Linked DNA regions of Diceros bicornis minor. The protein of the gene in region 1 interacts with the protein of each later gene in a pairwise test. Links are inferred from orthologs where the notes say so. Each region holds a gene or a part of one and is shown in the gene's direction. Other genes may lie near its edges.

Region 1 (7,488 bases):
ATAGCAGATTGGAAACTGCCAATTATTGAAATCGATGAATTAAGATAGCTCAAAATAATTAAGATAGATCAAAATTATCAAAAGTAAAACATTGAAAGAAAAAGATGGAAAAAAAAATAAAAAAACAGAACCTGAGCAGCCCGTGGGACAGTATCAAGTGGCCCAACACATGTGAAATTGGAGTTCCAGAATGATAAGATAGAAAGTGGGGCAGAAAAATTGAGGGAAAAAAGGGCTGAAATTTTTCCAAATTTAGTGATTTATTTTATTAGCCTACAATTCAACAATCTCAACAAACCCGAAGCAGGATAAACACAACCTAAACACACACACACACATCACACAGATAGAGTCAAACTGCTAAATAACAAAGATCAATAGACTATCTTAAAAGAAATAGGAAGGAAAAATACACATTAAATAGAGGGTACCAAAGAGAAAAAGGTTGCCAGACTTCTATTCAGATAAAATGGAGGTCAGAGGACAATGAAACCTCATTTTTAAAGTCCTGAAGGAAAAAAAAATATTAATTCAGAATTCTATAGTTTGCAAAAACAACATTCAAAATTGAAGGAAAAATGAAAACATTTTTAGATAAATAAAGCTGATAAAAAGCATTGTCTGAAAGCCTACACTGTGAGAAACACTAAAGGAAGTCCTTTTGGTTTAAAAGAGTAAATTATACGAGATGAAATCTCAGACCCACAGGGAGCATTAAAGAACACCAGGAGGGGGCCGGCCCCGTGGCTTAGCGGTTAAGTGCGTGTGCTCCGCTACTGGTGGCCGGGGTTCAGATCCTGGGCGCGCACTGACACACCGCTTGTCCGGCCATGCTGAGGTGGTGTCCCACATACAGCAACTAAGAAGGATGTGCAACTATGACATACAACTATCTGCTGGGGCTTTGGGGAGAAAAAGGGAAAAAAAAGAGGAGGATTGGCATGGATGTTAGCTCAGGGCTGATCTTCCTCACGAAAAAAAAAAAAAAACCACCAGCAATGTTAAGTGCAGAGGGACAGTAGAGAATATTTTGTCAAGCAAATATATTGTCAGGCAACTACTTTCTCTTGGACAAACAGCCCATGACAAATACACAAAAGACTGGAATAGCTGCTTCACAAAAGAAGATACCCAAATGGCCAATAAATGCATAAAAAGTTGCTCAACTTCGTTAGTCATTAGAGAAATGTAAATTAAACTATGAGATGACACTTTACACTGACTAAAATGTCTATAATTAAAATGTCTGACAACATCAAATGTTAGTGAAGGTATAGAACTAAATCTTTCATACATTGTTGGTAAGAGTGTAAAAGAGTATAATCATTTTGGAAAAAAGTCTGGTAGTTTCTTATAAAAAGAAACATGTACCAATTCCATGACTCAACCATTCTACTCTAGATATTTACCCAAGAGAAATGAAAATATATATCCACAAAAATATTTGTACAAGAATGTCTATAGAAGTTTTATTCATAGTAGCCTCAAACAAAAAATAACCCAAATGTTCATCCAAAGAAGAATGGACAAACAAATTGTAGTATATTCATACAATGTGATGAAAATAATCAAAATAATAAGAAATTGTCACATGTTGAGATGTGTAGGGAAGCCATTCTGGCTTAAACCTGATTCAGCCTAAACTTGTTTTCCCTAGAGCAGCCTGACTTATGACCTGTCAAACATGCATTGTACATCTGCTTTAAACATTAAACATTACCCCAAAGCAAAGGATGCACTGTCTGAGGATAGGGACGGATACCTCCCTTCCTCTGACGTCAATACCAGTGCTCTTTTGAAGGTAAATTTTTCTTGACAGAAATCAGGGTCAAGTTGACCTGCCGCACACATGCGAAACTGCAGCAAAATACCTCCTTGTGACTTTGAGGAAAAAAACGTATCCTTGTCAGGCTTGATGTATGTTCTTTGTTCTGAAATGGGATATTATCACGCTGCAAACCGCGCTTCTCTGGAACACTTTCTCCCTTTGTCAAGACTGCCTTCCTGGCTCAAGTAAAATTCACCTTATCTCTCCTATGTATAGAATGGTTACTGGTTATTTGTGTCGACAAATGAAATACTCCTCAGCAATTAAAAAAAAAAAGAACAAACTGCTGAAGCAAGCGACAACATGGGTGAATTAAAAATCATGATGCTGAGTGAAAGAAACCAGATACAAAAGTATGCACGCTGTGTAGTTTTACTCATGAAATTCACAAATAGAGAATAGCCATCTATAGTAATAGGAACCAGCACAGTGTTTACCTTTGGGAGGTGGGGATTGAGTGAAAATGAGCACAAGGGAACATTCTGGTGTCATGGAAATGTTAGATATCTTGACTGGGGTGATGGTTACATAGGTATATGCATTTGTCAAAACTGCATTTCACTATATGTAAATTTTATCTCAATAAAAAAAATGGAGGAACAAAAAGAATATGTATTTGACAACTATGGAGGCATTGGGGACCAAGACTCATAAATTGGAGATCTTACACTGGCATTATATTTTATTATCTATTAAGTGAGAGATACTCATATTGTTTATTTCTTGACAACACTATACTGTAGAAGTGACAGGTATTATTCTTCCCACTTTACAGTGAGGACTAACTAAGGCCCCAAGGGGCTACACGACTAGATGAAGATAATACAGCTAGTAAGTAACAGCATTGGGACTAGAATATAAATACTATGTCCACTAAGACAGTGTTCTTCGTCCTCCGCCAATTCTCCTTGTCTTTCAGTGTTAAATTTCTTTCATAAGGAATCATGTGTTAAGACAGAAACCTCTGTTAAGCCAAGTGGTTATATTTTTAGCAAACATTTATTAAGGGTCTATTATATTATGTCCCAAGTGCTGAGGGTAAGAAGACAAATAAGATACACCCGTCTTAAAAGAGACACTGTCAAAAAAAAAAAAAAAGGCACAAACATAAAAATTTTAAAGCAACGTGACATAAGTGGAGGTGTGTGCAAAATGCTCTGGAAAGAGCCGCCACCTCAATGTGAGGCAGTTGAATGCCACGGCAGCCGAGTCTTGACACGTGGGTTCACCCAGGAAAGGATGGTAGAAGAGCATTAGGCCAAGGCAACAGCACCAACAGAGCCTGAAGGATGAGACAGTATCAGGAAATCAGCTAGAAAGGTAAATTGGACCAGATTAAGGAAGGTCATATTTGTCAATCTAGGAAGTTTGGACTTTATAAGTGGAGAGTGACAAAAAGTAGCTTTGTATTTTACAGAAATGATTCTGGCAGCAGTAAGTGGATGTTCTGAGGTAAGGGCATATTACAGAATCAAACAACCACAACTGAAGGCAAGCAAAGTGAAACAGATTATGCTTCATAATGGAGATGAAATTCAAGGGGAAATCTAAAATAGCTACATCTCAAATCCCTAGCCGTTCGGTACTGCACCAGGGATTTCCTCCAACGGAATTGCTGATCTGGAACCCTCATCATAGAGTTTTATTCCCCAGTTCCAGTATTTTAAATTTTCATGAAATTGAGGCCTTCAAAAATAAATAAGAGAAAGCAGGTTCCATATCTCGGAAGAAAAGCCTTCTGTAGCATCCTTGCCCCTACTCTGAAGTGTAATCAATGAAAGTTCAGTTTCCCATGAGGCACAGGAAATGTGGAGAAGGCAAGTGTCAGGAAATCAAAGATCATAACTCCAGGTCTTGATAACCATTTTATATTCTGGCCTGGGGGGGCACAAATTATGCCCATCAGTTGTGTAAAGTGACTTTTCAATTTGCACACAGGCAGATCTGGTTCAAACACACACACACGCACACACACACACACACCTTAAACCCAGTTCCACCTCACTCCTCCACCACATGAGCACAGCAAGACCACAAAAAGCATTGCAAAGATTGCTAATTACACGAAACATTTTTATGGTGATGGCACAAACAAATGGCATTTAATGAGTTGTAATATTAACTTTAAAAGGAGACAATAAATAATTTTCAATGAACAGGATCAAAATCTATGGGAATATTATTTTCCATATTGATAATCAGTTGTATCTATAATTACTCATTGGCCACATTTTCTTTCTTTCCTTATTCTGACAAAAGGACAATGCTTCCTATGAAGATTTTCTGAAGCAAGCATTTTATCCCACTGGCACATGGAAATAGTGACCTTATTTAGTAACCTGAAGTTATGCTTCTTTTATGAGGCATAAAACTCTGTCAGCAAATAAACAACGCTAATGAATGTTCACATGAAAACTGGCACCAACAGCGATAAAGAAAACATCCGGTGCATTCTGTAAATACCCATTTGGGGGCTATATAAAAGTCTCAGCAGGGAAGGAGATTTTGGAGCCAGGCAACTGGAGTTTTGGAACTAGTCTTTGCTCTTCACTTCTAACAGGATGACTTCTGACAGCTCCCCCACGGGCAGCTCTTCTGAATCCTGTGCCAGGGCTTCTGATTGTGCGTTTGCTTCTACCTGTCCCGTGGAAACCACTTGTCTCCCCAGCGCCTGTGCTGCATCCAGATGCCAGACCCCTAGTTTCCTATCCAGGTCTCACTTGCCAGCCGGCTGCTTCGTGCCACGCCACTTTGCTGGGAGTTGTAATGTTCCGTGCTTGGTGGGGAACTGTGCTTGGTGTGAGGATGGGGTGTTCAACAGCAATGAGAAGGAAATGATGCAGTTCCTGAATGACAGACTGGCCAACTACCTGGAGAAGGTGCGTGGCCTCGAGGAGATGAATGCAGAGCTGGAAGGCAGGATCCGAGAGCAATGTGAAGAGGATATCCCATTGGTGTGCCCCGATTACCAGTGTTACTTTGACACCATTGAAGATCTCCAACAAAAGGTCTGGTGCCTTACTGCCCTAATGCTCCACCTTCCCAATCTCTGATTTGCTTTATCTTTTTACTGTTCTATGGAGGAAGCCAGGGAAAGGGGACTTCCAAGAGGCGATGTGATGTAGAGGGTCCAGAGTACTTAACTAGAAGTCAGGAAACACCAGCACTAGCCCCAGTGCTGCCTCTAATTACTGATTGACCACAATAAACTCACTTACCTCTAAACTTTACCCTATCATCTATAGAATGATGAAAAACTATTAAATCTAAAATTACTTCTGTATGTAAGGCTGTACATCTACATTATTTTTAGCATAAGATATTGAAATGTCATTTTTTAATCATATAATTTCACCTAGTAATCATTTTCTTTTCTTATTAATGAATTGTTATTATCATGGCTGGGGACATAGTCATAATACAAACTACTTACAGAGAAAATTTTGAGTTCAACTGCCAAGGAACATTGCAAAATGTCTTGGGTCATTAAAAAACTAAACCTTTTTATTTCTCTATTTTGTTTATAAATTGGCACTGTTTTTTTCCTTATGAGGTGACATGGTTAATAAGAAAAGCAGGCTGAAAGCTATTTTATACTTTCTTATAAAGACTTTTAAGAGATAAATAATGGCATAGATGTTACATGAATAGATACTTATGCTTCTTTCAAAAAAACATTTATTACATAATAACTTACTTTCCAGATCTTGTGCACGAAGGCAGAGAATTCTAGACTTGCTGTACAGCTTGACAACTGCAAACTGGCCGCCGATGACTTTAAGTCAAGGTAAGTTTAATTTGAATTTGAAAATAATTTATGGTTGCCTCTATCTTTCTCACACGCACACACACAGACACAAACACAGCACAAATATTCTCCATATAATATATTTTTATGCTAAGAATTCTCGCAAAGCTCGAATTTACCATTATTTGGGATATAAAGGAAATCACAGCACATGGCTTCCCTGAGTTCACGTGTCATTCATCAGCATGCCCTAGCACTCGGCACAGTGTCAGCAAAGTAAGCACAGGCTGTATCTCTTTTGCTGTGAAAGGTATGAGTCTGAACTGTCTCTTTGCCAGCTGGTGGAGACGGACATCAGTGGCCTGCGTGGGATCCTGGGTGAGCTGAACTTATGCAAAGGTGATCTGGAGGCCCATGTGGAGTCTCTGAAGGACGATCTTCTTTGCCTTAAGAAAAACCACGAAGAGGTGAGGAAAGTGGAAAATCGCTGAAGGGCTCTCAGAGTGACAAAGTTAAACTGATAGATTTCATTATGTATATATAAAATTGCACTTGGGTAGATGTGGCTTAAACTGAAACAAAATTACTCGAGGCACTACTACTATGCAGCCTGATCACTCCCATGTGTCTCTGAATGTAGATGTGAAATGACCCCTGGCCAGTGCCAGATGAAGGGGCCAAACTCATCACCTGCCATTACTTTTGTGGAGTTAGCTTTCTCTGGAGGCTTTATGCCACTTGTAACTCTAATCCATAGAGTGTGAAAATCAGGCTGATAAACACAGAGTATGAAGGTCATTTCAAAAAGGGGATAAATACCCTTAAGGTCCATCCATGTTGCCACAAATGGCAAGATTTCATCTTTTTTGTGGCTGAGTAGTACTCCACCGTAGATATATACCACATCTTCTTTATCCTTTCATCCATTAATGGGCACTTAGGTTGCTTTCAAGTCTTCCGTATGTGGAAGATAAACAAACAAACAAATACATAGATATGGAGAACAGATTGGAGGTTACCAGAGGAGAAGGGGGCCAGGGGAGGGCAAAAGGGGTAAAGGGGCACGTGTATGGTGACAGATGGCAACTAGACTTTTGGTGATGAACATAATGCAGTCTATACAGAAGCTGAAATATAATGATGTACACATGAAATTTATATAATGTTATAAACCAATGTGACCTCAATTTGAAAAGGGGGGGGGATAAAGACTCAGGCAATATTTGGACAAATATTTTTAAATATTCTGCATATATAATCTATGTAAAATCATAAAATATGAAGTGTATGATTATCTCATATTGATGAAGCTAAAAAATGAGAAGCTAAATGATATAACCAAGAACATTTTCTCTTTGAACATTTGTTGATGATAAGAGCTAACATTTATTGAGACCTCATTACGTGCCAAGGACTTTTGTAAGTGCTTTATACATATATTAACTCTCATATATCTCATAACCCTCTGGAAAAGGTAAAATTATTATACCCACTTCACAGATGAAGAAACTGGTGGTGAAAAAAGATTCAACCTAAGGAATCTAAATCTAAACTCCCTGCTCCAAAAAACAGAAGTGGGAGGCTATTGAGATGTCAAAGTGAATTCCCCCTCCCTGCCCATTCTGTGACATTCTTTACTCCATTTCCACTTTCAGGAAGTCAGCTTGCTTCGTGGACAGCTTGGTGACTGCCTCAGTGTGGAGCTAGACACTGCCCCCACCATCGACCTCAACAGGGTCCTGGATGAGATGCGCCATCAGTACGAGATGGTGCTGGCCAACAACCGCAGAGAGGCAGAAGAATGGTTCGCTGTCCAGGTCAGCACCTGGGGCAATAAAGAGGCAGGCTTCCAGATTTCTGCCTTATTTGGGTTCTCTAATCATGCCCGTGTTTCAGACGGAGGAGCTGAATC
Region 2 (7,222 bases), on another chromosome or scaffold:
ACTTCTCAGAATCTTAAATGCCATCTTGAAAAAAAATTTTCCAAATCTCAAGCTTATGTATATGAAAGCTCCTGCTATATGATCTTGGACTTTATTAAGAACTGCGCCCATAATTACTGATGTAAATCAGTGCAATGACCATCCCAAAAGGAGACTTTACAATTTCTCTCTTTAACCAATCACATGATGGCCTTCACAATCCTGCCATATTTGGGCAAAACTTCCTCTCCTTATCTTAGATCTAGCCCTTCCCTTTTTTTTTTTTGGTGAGGGAGATCAGCCCTGAGCTAACATCCGTGCTAATCCTCCTCTTTTTGCTGAGGAAGACCGGCTCTGAGCTAACATCTATTGCCAATCCTCCTCCTTTTTTTTTTCCTTCCCCAAAGCCCCAGTAGATAGTTGTATGTCATAGTTGCACATCCTTCTAGTTGCTGTATGTGGGATGCGGCCTCAGCATGGCCGGAGAAGCGGTGCGTGGGTGCACGCCCCAACCGAACCGGCCGCCAGTAGCGGAGCGAGCGCACTTAACCACTAAGCCACGGGGCTGACCCCCTTCCCTTTTAACTTAGAAAGACTCACTGAAGTCATATTTGAGTGACGCAGCTCTCCCTTACCTAACAAGAAATAAATTCAGTTTTATTTTTTCAGTTCTAATGATCTTACTATGCACTATAAACCCCAAGAAGAGGAAAGAGTGCATGCCTTTCCCAAGCCAAAAGTGGCTACAGACCACTTTTCTCAATGTGCCATAAACTAAAGATTGCCCGCTGTCTTCCTTAAGGTGTACCTCTAAAGTCATCTCTGTTTTTGTCAAGATCTTATAACTCCATGATATTGACAAATGCCCAACTAACTTAGAGATAAAATTTTTAAAATTCAATACAAGAAAGTCTGAAGTACAACACAGAAAGATTTGGAGATAATTATATATTTACCAAAGTACCTGGTGCCTGACCAAGTGGCTCACCACCACTTTGAATTACAAATTCTCCTTACAAGTTTAAATGACTCCAATTATAAAAATGCCATTTACATATAGCTCTTCCAGAACCACCCACTTTCTATACTTGGTATTCAGCTAGGCTTGGACTGAACAACTAGGAGAGTAGAACTGCTACACACACTTCCAGTTGAGCTCACTCCACTAATTACCCCTGCCATTTCTTTGATTTTTGCAAAATACTCTCTATCTTAAGTGCAGAAGCAAGCATTTTCCTAATAATTAGTTCTTTGCTCTTTATCAAATATTGTTAAAGAAATAATAACCCAATGCCCCCATATCCACTACTATGGCTTTAGTCCAAGTGCTTGACCTACAATAATAGCGTCCTAAATCACCTCTCCACATCCACTTTTGGACCCTTTCATTCTCTTCATGGCCAGAGGAGCTTATAAAAATGTATACCTAATCATGTCACTTAATGAAAATCCTTCTACGGCTTCCCATTAACTTTAACAGATAATGCTTAATTTGGTCTATAAGACCCTTGGTCTATCAGATCTTATCCCTGTCCACAATACCAGGCCCACATCACACATTTCTCTATTGCTCTCTGGCCCCAGACACACTAGTCTTCTCTCGGTTTCTGCAATACCCCAAGCTTCTTCCCATCTCAGGGCCCTTGCATACACACTATTTCCCATTACTTCAAATATTCATTCTTATTCACCCCACTTCCCAGACCCACCTCCAATCTCAGCCTGCCTAGTCATCCTTCAGCACTCATCTCAAAGGTTACTACTGAAGAAAGCTTTCCCTAAACCCCTCTCTACCAGCACCACCACCAGGATTAGGATGTCCAATTATAAGCTCTCATAGCACTCTGTACTTCTCCTTTATAGAAACTTCCACAATCATAATTAACTTATTGTTCAAGTTATTTAAAACTGATTCTTTCCTCCCAAGCTCCTTCATGTCATAAACAGATACCATATGAAAGTTAGCCCCATGAGGACAGATATTTCATCTTCCTTGTTCTCCACTGTAATCCATACACCCACCACAGTATCCTGCAACAGTAGTTGCTCAATAAATAAATCACTGATGAAGGACCAAATAACTAAACTGACAGAACACAAGTCACGTCACACATGGATTATATCCTCTGCAGTTCTATTATGTAAATATCTTATACTCCATGTTTTCAAAGTGGAAATTAATTACCATAGACAATATTAGATTAGAATTCCCAACTTACACCATTTACAAAATAAAATAAAATAAATTCAAAATCTAACCATAAAAAGGAGAACAAAAAAGTAGCAGAAGAAAATATAGGAGGAAGCCCTGATGACTCTGGTGTGCAGAAAATGTTCTTAAACAAGACATGAAATTCAAAGCCACTGAGAAAAAGTGTATCAAATTTGAAACTTTAAGACTATAAACATAGTTAGAATATAAGCTATAAAGGTGAAGAAAATACTTGCGACACATATGACAAATGATTAGTATCTAGAATACATAAAAAACATCTAACAATCAATAAGAAAAAGACAAAAAAAATCCAACAGAAAAATGGGAAAATTTATAGGAAACCTACAAATTACCAATAAATGTACAAAAGGACATTCAGTTTCACTATTAATCACAGAAAGGCAAAGTACAACAACGAGACATCACTTTTTATCAATCAGACTGGCCAAAATTTACAAGTTTGGCAACACGAAGCAATGGCATGGGTATGGGGAAAAATATTCTCATACACTGCTGTTAAGAGTATAAATGGTGCATTGATTTGGGAAGATAATTTGGTATTATCTATTAAATGTATACAACCCATGACCTGGCAATATCTTTTCTCAGTATCTGTCCCAGAGTAACATTTGCATGTATGCACAAAGAGAATGTTTATTATATCATTGTGTGTGACAGCAACAATTGTAAAAAACATATATTATCAATAGGCAAATGGCTATTCAGACTATGGAACATTATGCAGAAAGTAAAAGGAATATGAGAGATCTGTATGCACTACTATAAACAGGTCTCCAAGGCCCATTGCTAGGAGAAAATAGCAAATTGAGGAATTCAACACAAACACACACATACATGCATGTACACATAAAACAATACTATGTATTTTCCATGAATACATGTGTATTTTATGTAAAAGTATAGAAAAAGTTCTGGAAGATAAACACACCAGACTCAATAGAATAAACTCGTCAGAGAGATGAAGCAGCCAGGATTAGTAAAAGGTCATTAGCTTTATCTATAATGTTTCAAATGTTTAGAAGAACATATTTATGTATTATTTATTAACTTGATATTTTAAAATATTAAATGAGATATATAGAGAAAACAGTAGGCACACAGTAGCCTTTCATGAACTATATATTGCCCTCCCTCCACCAAAAATGATGGCTACCTTGGGTTCAAACACAAACAGATCCCAGCAACGTGTCCCATGAAAATGAAATGTGTAAGCACAGTTGGGGAAAAGAAGGCCCTCATGTGGCAGGTGGAGAGTGGTGACTTAAGGGGTAGAAGGGATAGAGAGAGTAAAAAGGGAAATAGCAGGTACAGGCAGAAATATCATTGACCCAGACAAAAGTGAGTAAATGAGATCAGGGAAGAGAGTCTCAAAGTAAAGAAACACACAGAAATACTTAAAGGGAAATAAAGAATGATACTATTAACTATTCTCTTACTGAGTTTACTGTGTTCACAGGCAATGTATCATCTCATCTTCAGAGCAACGGTATTATTACCCCCATTTTAGACGGGCACTGAGGTTCAGAGAGGTGGAAAGATCTGTCCGAGGCCCTGCAACTGATGGCGAATGCACGAGCCTGTATTCAAACACTAAACTGCTCTCTCTTCTACCTTGCTTCGCAGACAACGCAAAGGAACAAAAATCAAGAAAAATACGTAGAGGTATAGGCACCAAAATCAAAACAAACAAAAGATCAAGAACAGAAAAACGAAAAGAGAACCCTTGCAGAAGGTATGTGTGTAAAAGGAAGGGCTGCTCGCTGCAGACAGGAGCGGGCGTGCGACCGGAAGCGGCCTGGGCCCCTGGCTTTTCACACTGAATCCTCCGGGGGGCACGGAGCCTCAACCCTCGCTGGGCACATAGAGAGGACCAAACCTCCCAAAGCCTAGAAAGGCTCCAGCCCGACAAGGAGGCGGGGCGAAGGGCAGCTTCCGGTTCCGGGCGCAAAGGCCCCACGTGTTCCGACCCGCCAGGCCCCGCGCGGCTCGGATCTGGCGGCGCTGCCTCGGCCGGGAGTGGGTGAGGGACAAGCCGGGGCAGGGGAGGAGCTGCCGGAGCTGTCGGAGCCGTGAGTGCTGGGGGCCGGGCCGGGCCGGGTCGGATCGGATCGGGCTGAGCCGGGCAGGGCAGGGCTGGGAAGAGGGGGAGGGATCGAAGACCCCGCCTCCCCGGAGCCTGGGGAGATTGTACTGTCGTGGGGAAGAGGCGGCGGCAGTGTAGTGAGGGGGCCACGGCGTTGTGGTCCTCGTGTCTCCTGATGGCCTGAGCAGGACCTCCGGAGACGCGATGGCGCGCCAGGGTTCTTTCTTTCCAGCCACCGCCCTCCGCCCCCTCCTGAGGCCTGCAGAAACGCAGTTAGTCTGTACCTCCCAATGCTTCCGCGCCAACTGCCCCCCGGAACCGAGGCAGGAGTAGTCTAAGCCCCTTTATTTCCCGCAGCTTTCTCACCCCGCCTCTCAGATTGCTCAAGAATCCCCCCGCAGGCTCGCTGCCCAGGCGAGCCCCATCGTTCCACCACTAACCACCCCTCCAAGATTCACGCAGATACGCTCACCCGTGATCTTATCACCCGTGATCATACTAGGCCTTGGAGACCATCTGGCCTGTGGCTCTTCAGCTGCCACTGTGACCGACCCCGAGCTTCCCCTCAAGCCAGTGGCTGCTGTCTCCACTTGCAACTTCCTCCCCCCCCACCCCTCCCCAGTCTTGGCACTTCTTCTCAACACCAGCGTTACCCTCAGCAAGAATAAACGGGCCCCTGCTTCTTGTCTGGTTTGGCTAAAAGTTTGTTAGTTTGTATGCCATGGACATGCAATGTTATCTTGGAAAGGTGTCAGCCCAATTCTTATCTTTCTGGGCATTGGATATTCTGTCTCTGGGATTTGATAACCCTGTCTGCCTTGGTACCTGTACTGACCTCCTCAAAAGTAGGCTCTTAGGCCTACCTCTTTTTCAGCCACCTTGGTTCTGGGGAGCAGTACCACCTCCAGGCTCTCGCTTAGAGGCTAGGCTTAGAACTGTTGCTTTTTCTCTGTCCACGCTGCAGGTGACACCCAGGGCAGCCTCACTCAGAAGCCACAAGGAATGCTAGTGGAGTCCCTCATCCCTCCTCCCAGCTTCTCTTCCAAGCTGCCCCATGGGCCTTGATCCAGAAAGCCACTTCAGAAAGGTTGTGGGGTAGCCATGGGAGGCTTGTTGGTGGGAAGTGTGTGACAGTGAAGCAGTTAGGGTTTGTGGCCATTTGTCTTAGGTAACTTTATGCTATTACTGTCTGACATAAGAGGGTGGGCAGGGTTGGAGGGAGGAAGGGAATTTTTCCTCCTAGGACCAAACACCTGGGATACATAATCTTGCCCCCTTTCTTCTCCAGCTGTACCTCTTTTGAACTCTTTCTGTGTACTATATTACACTAGACAGTTCAAGGGCACAGCAAGGTTTACTACAATGTGAGGGACTCTTGGGCGTTACAAATTATACAGATGAGGTAAGTTACAGGTTTACAACATTTTTTTTCCCCAGTTAATTTGGCACAGGCATAAAACGTATAACAGCCCTAGACTCTTTCTACTTTTGCAAACTCTCCTTTAAATTTGACCAACGCTGGAAAAGTTGGATCCTTTCTGCTTGAACCTCAGATTTACTTCCTTTGCCTTAGGTACTGCTTCTCAAATTTATCATGCATCTTAAGCACTTGAAGGCCTTATTAAACACAGATTACCGGGCCACCCCCCGAGTTTCTGATAATAGGTCTGGGCCGGGGCTTGAGAATTTGCATTTCTAACAAGTTCTCAGGTGCTGGTGCTGCTGGTCTGGGTTTCTCACATTGAGACCACTGCCTTTGGCCAAACTTCTTCACATAAACATTGCGGTGGTTTAGAGATCAAAAGACCTGTGTATGAGTACCTCTGTGCTGAAACCAGTACAGTGATCCGGTGTGGGTAATTTAACCACTTAGGTCTGAGTTCTTTCGTTTGTAAAATTAAGAAAGTGTATTTAAAACAAACTCCAAATGCTAAATTAGAGAGGAATATTGATGAGTTTTTCCTTTATTTTCTTAATTCTCTTGGTAGAACCTTCCATTTTGATCATATAGCTTATAACCATATTCTCAGTTTTGGCTATGAATCTCTAGTATGCTCAAGTCCCTGCTGTTTCTTAACTACATGTTAAATTCTTTAAGGTCAGAGCCTGCGCTTTTCTCATCTTTCTCTGCCCAGCACCTTGAATTGTGTGGGACACACAATTGATGTGCAGTAGATATTTGTGGAGTGAATGAACTCTATCCGCTGCTCTCTTACCCCCTTGAAGAAATTTTTCTCCGCTAATCCTGTGCCACATAGTAAGGCAGTATATGGCTGTGCCACCTGAATCCCCCCAGGAGATTGGAATAAATGCTAATGCCAAATTGCAATAATGTCCCTGTGAGTGGTTTATTACCCAGACATCCTGGCACCCACTGATTTTCTGAATTTCCCTCCTTCTGTATCCAGATTGGGGGAAGAGAAATAGACAGCTTAATTAAATTGAACACACATTTATTGAGTACCTTTTCTACCAAGTGTTTGACAAAGTGTTAGGCACTGGGAATACAAAAATGAATAATGAGGTTCTTACCCTCAAGGCAAGGCTCACAGTGGGAGATAAAGACACTAAACAGTGCCCACAGAATGGCATTCTGGGATTAGTTCTACTTTGGACCATGAGTTAGTCTGAGACTCTTCAGATTCCTCTGATCCAGCAGGCATGGGTCCCATCCTTTATCTTCTCATCATATTCGAGGAAGCCTTAGGCAAAGCCAGAAGGAAGTCACCTAGATACCCAGCAGGGAGTATCCTGACAGAGAGTGTTAATTACAAAACTAAAAACATAGTAATGCCTTTCGAATTGACTCCTCTGAATTATCCATATTCATACTTCAGGTCAGGCTGTATTTATAAGATATCTTATGCTGTTATTTTTCATTAAATAATGGTTCCTCTAACTGTACGATTGGCATTGAACATGTT
Region 3 (7,113 bases), on another chromosome or scaffold:
TTTCTGCAAACTGGGAATGCGTATAATTGCCCAAGGAAGCAGGAAGCACATGTAGAGCTCCCATCAGTCTGCTTGTGGGTATGTGCTCAGTTGGTGCTGGTTCATTTCCTGCCCCTCAGACCGGAGCGCAGCTGACCCGGGCTCCTGGTGGGATATGTTGCGGCCAGGCCTCCCTGTCAGAGCAGTCTGAGTGGAGCTGAGGCAAGGGCAAGGTGCACACCCTGAGACCTCTGGCCTTTCTAGGTGTGAGAGCCAGGCTGACTGGGGCTCCCATCTTCCATCCCGTGTTGGCCTGGGCTGCGTCAGGCATGTGAACTCACCTGTTTCTCTTCTCTCCAGCAAATGGAAAGGATCCTGAAGAAAGCATCCAAAACCCACAAGCAGAGAGTGGAGGTAAGTCATGTGCCCAGTGGGGAGATGGAGCCATCTAGGGCCCCAGAGGCTAGGAGCCTGGCAGAAGAGCCACTGGAGTGTTGGCGGGGAGGAGAGTGTACCCAACAGAAGTGACGGCTACCCGGGGGTCACTGAAGGGAGAGCCCAGGGTTCAGGAGTTTCTAAGGCCTGGCAGAGTGGCCTTGAGAGGAGGGGTGCTCTGAGGAGAGACAGGACGTGGAGAAGTGCGGTGGGCAGCACCACACATCCCTGATGCCCTGCGTGGGGCTGTGCTGACGTGGGCTTTCTCCTTTGCTTTCCCAGGACTTCAACAGACACCTGGATACGCTGACGGAGCACTATGACATTCCCAAAGTCAGCTGGACCAAGTAGCCTCCTGGCCCGGGAGGTGGAGTGGCATCAAGGGGAAGCAGAAGGCGAAGTTGGGGTTATGTTTGGTGCCTTTGGTATTTTTTAGAAACATTCTTTTACACACACTTTGCGTCCTCTGTTGAGACAGTGCTTTTCAAAGCAGTGTGCCCTCATTCTAGACCTCAATGAAAGTAAGATTGCCCTTTTACCCTATTTTGGTTTCTCAGTAGAAGATAAACGTTTTCAGTTTGGACTGGAAATTTTTAAGAGTTTACCCAGAGATAAAGGTTATTTCTATGTAAGTGCTGTGGAAAAGCGTTTTTGCCCCTGAGTTGCATGTCACTCTCTCTGACAGCTGGCCAGCTCTCTTTGCCTGGATGAAACTGACTCCATAGGATAAGGAGTTAATGCCAGCAGGCCTGCAATGCAGCCCCTTGTGGGGCCCTGCATTGCCTGCCCTTCCAAGCTCCCTCTAGCTTGGGGCTTATGCTGTTCCATCCAGGGCCTGGGGAAGCCACTGGCAGCTTCGTGGCCTGCAGACTGCCTCCTCAGCCACCTGGCCAGTGAGACAATGCAGCCTGGGAAGCAGAACAACTGTCTAAGGATAGAACACATGCCTCGTCCCTTTCTGAGCTGAGCTGGTGGCCAGCATTCCTCTTCCCCAGTAACCCTATTTCAGACATGTCTAGTGAGTGTTGCCATGGATATTACTAATCAAGCACAGCATTCTTTGTATTGGAACCCAGACACAGCCTGCCTCACTACCCTCAACCCTGGGCTCCAAGCTGACCCCCCGTATTTATTCAGAGTTGGCACATAACATGGAACCTATTGGGCATTCCTGGCCTAAGGACACCTCAGGGGTGACAGGAGCAGGGCAGAGCCCCGCACAGACAGACGGGTAGGGGTGCAGTCAAACGGGAGGACCCAGGTTCTGGTGCTGGAGAGCGAGGATCTTGGAGGGCCTGCGTGCACCCACCGGCTGAGGATGGAACTGCTTATGCTACTGTGAGAACTGACGCACACAGTGCAAGAGGACCAGTCAGAATAGAAACATCGGGTGTTGGGTCTGGGGCTGTCACAAGTGAACTGCAGAATAAAGCAAAAACCAGTTATGAAATGTAAGTCTGAGTGTCTTACTTATAGGCTGTTAGATTATCACTAGACACGCTGCCTTTTAAGGGTTTATCCCATATGAAGAATGTGCATACTGCGAAACGACTCTTCACCCTCAATTTGGAAAAATTTGGATGATGTGTTTCTACTTGTGGTTCGTGGCCCACTTGAGAGAGGTGACATCCTCTCATTAGCAGTGGCTCCTTTGGGCAGATTCCCCCAGCGTGCCCCAGCATTGGGGTCAGGGCTTTTCTATCCCTGAGCCAGCGGTGCAGGTCTGTGAGCGTGATGTGGTGCTGGAAAAGCCTGTGTCAGTACAGTGGAAGATAGACATCCTAATTCTGCCTAACACACCACTCCAGAACAGAGTGGCTTACAACAGGAGTTCTCTCTCCCGATTCTGGGGGTTGACAGTGCTCATCTGGGTGGGTCTGCTCCCTGAGGTGTAGCTTAGTACACATGTGTAGCTGCATTGGCTTCCTTGGGGCCAGAAAGTCCAAGATGGCATCTCATCCCCCAAGACTGCTCTCCACATAGCCTGTTCCATTGGCCAACACAAGTCACGTTGTCAAACCCAGAGTCTCGGAACTACACAAGGGCATGAAGACCAGGAGGTGTGGTTTATTGGGGGCCATCACTGTTACAATCTACCACAGTGGTTCTCAATTTATGCTGTATGTTAGACTCTCCTGAGAGCATTAGGAACCACTGATGCTGCCTGGGGTGGGGTTCGGTCATTGCGAGTTTTCAGAGCTCTCCAGGTGACCTTAATATGCAGCAAAGTTTGAGAAACCCTGGTCTACCACAACAGGTATGGTCTTTTCTGAGATGTTGCAGAGGTCAAATCTGGCTTATACATTACACATAAATGCCAAGGATGAAATTCAGATGTGACTCGAATTCCCCCACTTATGGAGAAAAGGAAGTTACAAGTAATTTAAGTGTGAAGAGTGTTTACCGTGGTGGTACTCTTGGCACTTGGGAATCTTTGTTTCCTCAAAAGACTTGTACAATGTCTTCCCCCCAGCCTCCTTGACAGAGGCACAGAGCAAGGCTGAAAGGAGATGCTCTGTAATGAGAAGAGTCACCTTTCCTGGGTGGCTTTTCTTTTTGCCTTATAATTTTTGGCATTTACTCACTTTTTCTTCAGTGAGATGTACAGTTTTGTAATTTAAAAAAGACATGTTTTTCTAAAACATTGCAACAAACTGGGCAAAGTATGAGGCTAGGTACAATAGGGTTTCTTACCCAATAATTGTCAAAAGGCCTCCATTGGCTGCTTTGTGCAAGAATGCTTCCAGCCCAGGATTTACTTGGTAGTCTTCAGATATTAGTTTTCTTCTCTGGATTTTCCTGCACTTACATTTATCCTAAGTGGAGGATCTATTGCAAATGCCATCTTTCAGAGCCCCCAAACAGAGATGAGTGAAAGGCAGGCAGCCTGAGTAAATGGTTCTGATACTGCACGGTTGGGATCCCCAAAGCAGTGTGATGGTTCATTGGGACAGAATGCAGACATTTCTCCACAGCCTGAGTGTTCATAAAACCAAATGAGATATTCAATTGATTAATGAGAGGTCACGATTTGCATTACCCACCGTGGGCACTAACTACAGAAATGAAACACGTGCTTTTCGCCTAGGTTCAGTGGGGGGAGGTTTTTAGGAGATCATTCCAAGCAATAAACAGGCACGCCTGTTCACTGACGAATGTTGACACTGACAGGTGACAGATAGTGACTGTTGATAAGCCTTGACTGCCATTCAGAGAGTCTGACCTCTTTCCAAGTAACTACCTCCTTACTTCTCCCCATACAGCATTTCGCAATGGCGACTGTATATGATTGTTTCCTAGACTCCCCCACCAGACTATGAGTACCATAGGGCTGGGCCCTAGGTGGGTTCCACCACCGGGATCTCTCACCTAATTTGGCCCACAGCGGGGTTTCCAGCTGCCATGGCTTCGGGGCCCAGGCGGGAAGCTGGAGGATGCCCTGCTTCACTCGGCCCCGCCCGACCTCGTCCCTCTGGACCTTACTTCCGGGATGCTTGAGGCGGAAGCGGGAAATAAGAGCACGTAGAGCGCACTGCGCCTGCGCATACTCCGCCCTGCGCCCGCGCACTCCTGGCCCCTCCTCCCCGACCGGACCTAACGGTCCGCGCGCGGCTCCCCGGACCGGAAGTGGAGGCGAACAGTGGCGGCTCGCGCCCGGCCTTGCTCAACGCCTGGCGGTTGCCGCCGTCGCCGCCGCCCTCGGCCGCTGCCGAGGCTTCCCGCACCGCCATGTCCGCCAGCGCCGTTTACGTGCTGGACCTGAAGGGCAAGGTACGGAGGGCTCCCCACCCTCCCCGTTGCCAGGCAACCGGCGGGGGCCGCGCCCCGTGGGGACCCACCCTGTTGCTTAGGGACGGCCAATGGGACCCAGCCTGGTCTTGGGCAAGGAAGCCAGTCGGCCTCGCCTGAGGGCCGCACCCTGTTGCTAGGTAACCAGGCAGGGTCGTCTGTCCGCACCCTGTTGCTGGGTAACGCGGTGGGCTGCCGCTGTTGCTAGGTAACCGGCTGCACGACACCCCTGACCCCCGTGGGCTGGGGGCTCCAGTCTCGGTGGGGGCCCCCGGAAGACCGAGGCCGCGGCGAGGGCGGGCTGCAGCCGGCGTCGAAGCTGCGCGACCCTTGGCCCGACGTCGCGAGGCGTGACGAGGACAGTGTGCCCTCGGGCCAGTCCCGCCCTCTCAGGGACGTAGCTTCTGCTTCTCTGGCGAGTTCTCTGTGCCGGTCCCTGTAGGTATGTCTTAGCGTTCCTTCGTTGTGACATTGAGTGACAAGGATTAGGTGCGGTAGGTGGTGGCAGCGACACTTTACAGAGGGAGAAAGTGAGGCACAGAGAGGTGACGCAGCGTGCCCAAGGTCACACCGGTCACAGAGAAGTGACAGGTCTAGGCGTCGAACCCAGAATCATTTGTTCATTCAGCTGGTGTCTGAGGAGGACCTACTAAATGCCAGGCAGGTCTCTAAGTCTGAGAGGAGGGATCTTGACGCCTCTCAGAAGTGGGCTGCCGCCCTTCCCCAAGTCCATCCTGGCTGGAAGCAAGTGAGGATCTGGCCTCTTGCACCTGGGAGCAACAAGTACAGGTTCAACAATGTTCAACGCGTCCCACATCAATCTGGGAGGAGACGTGGGTGTCAGGCCCAGGTGGGGCAGGGAGGAGTTAGCTCAGAAGCAGTGGGGTGTGAGGAGAAGTGGCTGCCCCTTCCTGCCCCACTCCCCACCCCCAGCACTTCCCTGGAGTCCCCTGAGTGGGTTGCCTGCCTTGGATGGCACCCAAAGTCAACATCCAGTGAGGCCCAGTGCTGGGCTTCCTTCCCCCCACCTTCTTAGAGGCAAGGAAAGACACAGGGCAGGCCAGGGGCGGGGTGGGTGCAGTGTTCCCTGAGTCCTTGTAGCACGTGTTCTTGCTTCCACCCCAGCCACCGTGTCCTTAGAGGTCCCAAAGGCTGCCTGTCTCCAATCACTCGTTCCTTCAGCAAAGATTTCACGAGCTCCTACGTGCACTGAGCCGCATGCTGACCATCTCGCGGTGACTGTGGAGTCAGGGCTGAGCTCAAAACCCAGCTTTGCTGCTCAGCTGTGTGACCTCAGGCAAGTGCCTGCTCCTCTCTGAGCCTCACTTTCCTCATTAGTCAGAGGAGGCTTCCGTGGCATTATTGTGTGAACTCGCTGAGCCGCGCATGAGAGAGGCTCAGCAGCACCCAGGGCCCACAGTCCGCGTTAGACCCTGTGGGCCTCACGTTCTGGCAGGGGAGACGTGTGGAAGCAGCCGCATGGATCCAGACGGTCAGATCCGGTTAGCCACAGGGCATGGACAAGGCCCCAGGGAATGCAGTTGCCTAACCTCAGTTTTGGCTGGCAGAAGGAGAAGTGGTTACGGAAGGCTTCCTGGAGGAGGGAGATGGGGGAGCTGGAAAGGTGACCAAGTGGCAGACAGGTGGACAAGGAAGCATCTCAGTGGGCCCGAGGGGTGAGGGGCAGCCCACTGGGGCTGGCAAGCAGGAAGTCCTACGTAAGGCTGGAGCCTGGTGGATGGCACCAGGAGGGCCATGGGTGTTAAAGGTGTCCGGACAGGAGAAAGGGCCAGAGGGGACCACTTTGATCCCAGGAAGGAGGAGCCACCGCAGGGGGATTGTAGCCCGGGAGAAGCAGGATCAACCTGCCTTTCGGGAGGCTCCCGAGGCAGCCGGGGGCTCCCTTCCCGGCCTCAGCAACCGTCATGCCATTTATTATTCCACTCCCCACGGACCTCATGTTTTGGAAGTTTGCCTCATGCGCAGACTGCGTTTAATCAGAAGTAAGGTAATGGCACATCAGGAAATTCACTACCACACAGCTCTCTGCCAGCCAGAGCCTCTGATTACCAAGGAAACCAGCGTGGCCACGTTCAGCTGACAGAAAGCCCTCCGTGGACACTCCTCCGCCCTGTCTTTCTTGTTTCTCTGCAGCTGCTGAGGCCACTAGCACACTTCTCAGCAGGCTTCCTTCGGCCCCCTGTTTCCCTCACTGTCTGCTGGCCCCTCCGCTGCTGCCCTCCCTTTGGATGCTGGCCCCTCAGGCATACTGTCCCTCTCCCGGGGCAGGCTTTGATTCACGTCAGTGTGCCGGTGACTCTCAAATTTATACCGCAGTCCAGGGGACTTATCTGGAGATCTGCTGGCCTCGGAGACACCTTGGAAGTCCCACAGCCACTGCAGACTCTCCCTCCATCTGCTCTCTCTCCATCTCGGCGAGTGACACTGCCATCCATGCAGCTGCCCACGTTGGAGCCCTGGGCGTTATTCCTGCCTCCTTTGTCTCCTCACCTGCATGCTCACTCCCCAGACGTTGACTGAGCACCTGCTGTGGGCTGGGCTCTGTTGTCAGTGCTGGCACACAGCTGCGAACCAGACGGAAGTGGTCACTGTTCTCTGGGAGTAGTAGACTCTGGTAGAAGTGACAGACAGTAAATGAGGACACAGATAAACATATGATGCAGTGGTGATGTGGGCAGTGAAGGTAAAGTGGAGTTGGGGGTCGAGAGGGATGGGATATGATCTCTCAGCCAGGGCAAGCAGGGAGGAGGTGCTGTCTGAGCTGAGGCTTGAGAAATGAGAAGAGCCAGCCCAGGGCATTCTGAGCAGAGGGAACTGCAAGTGCAAAGGCCCTGAGGCAGGAACAGGTGTGGATTGCTCAGAGGCCAGCTAGGAGGCCAGAATGGCTGG

The links. The genes of interacting proteins can lie anywhere in the genome.
Region 2: the proteins of KRT40 (region 1) and ZNF202 interact in binary tests that used the Homo sapiens proteins (3 or more experiments, as listed by UniProt). The two-hybrid records come from large-scale screens. The link is inferred for Diceros bicornis minor from reciprocal best matches to the Homo sapiens genes KRT40 and ZNF202.
Region 3: the proteins of KRT40 (region 1) and AP1M1 interact in binary tests that used the Homo sapiens proteins (3 or more experiments, as listed by UniProt). The two-hybrid records come from large-scale screens. The link is inferred for Diceros bicornis minor from reciprocal best matches to the Homo sapiens genes KRT40 and AP1M1.

What each region holds. Positions count from the first base shown.
Region 1 is NC_080757.1:40,394,469-40,401,956, reverse strand, and holds the start of KRT40 (keratin, type I cytoskeletal 40), read left to right. Parts: upstream 1-4,389; coding exon 4,390-4,836; intron 4,837-5,532; coding exon 5,533-5,615; intron 5,616-5,886; coding exon 5,887-6,043; intron 6,044-7,231; coding exon 7,232-7,393; intron 7,394-7,472; coding exon 7,473-7,488. UniProt on the Homo sapiens protein: May play a role in late hair differentiation.
Region 2 is NC_080746.1:13,749,311-13,756,532, forward strand, and holds the start of ZNF202 (zinc finger protein 202), read left to right. Parts: upstream 1-4,175; 5' UTR 4,176-4,284; intron 4,285-4,464; exon of another isoform or gene 4,465-5,385; intron 5,386-7,222. UniProt on the Homo sapiens protein: Transcriptional repressor that binds to elements found predominantly in genes that participate in lipid metabolism.
Region 3 is NC_080759.1:4,410,731-4,417,843, forward strand, and holds the start of AP1M1 (AP-1 complex subunit mu-1), read left to right. Parts: upstream 1-4,066; 5' UTR 4,067-4,143; coding exon 4,144-4,185; intron 4,186-7,113. Other genes in the region: protein FAM32A, read left to right, coding at 340-393, 697-765. UniProt on the Homo sapiens protein: Subunit of clathrin-associated adaptor protein complex 1 that plays a role in protein sorting in the trans-Golgi network (TGN) and endosomes.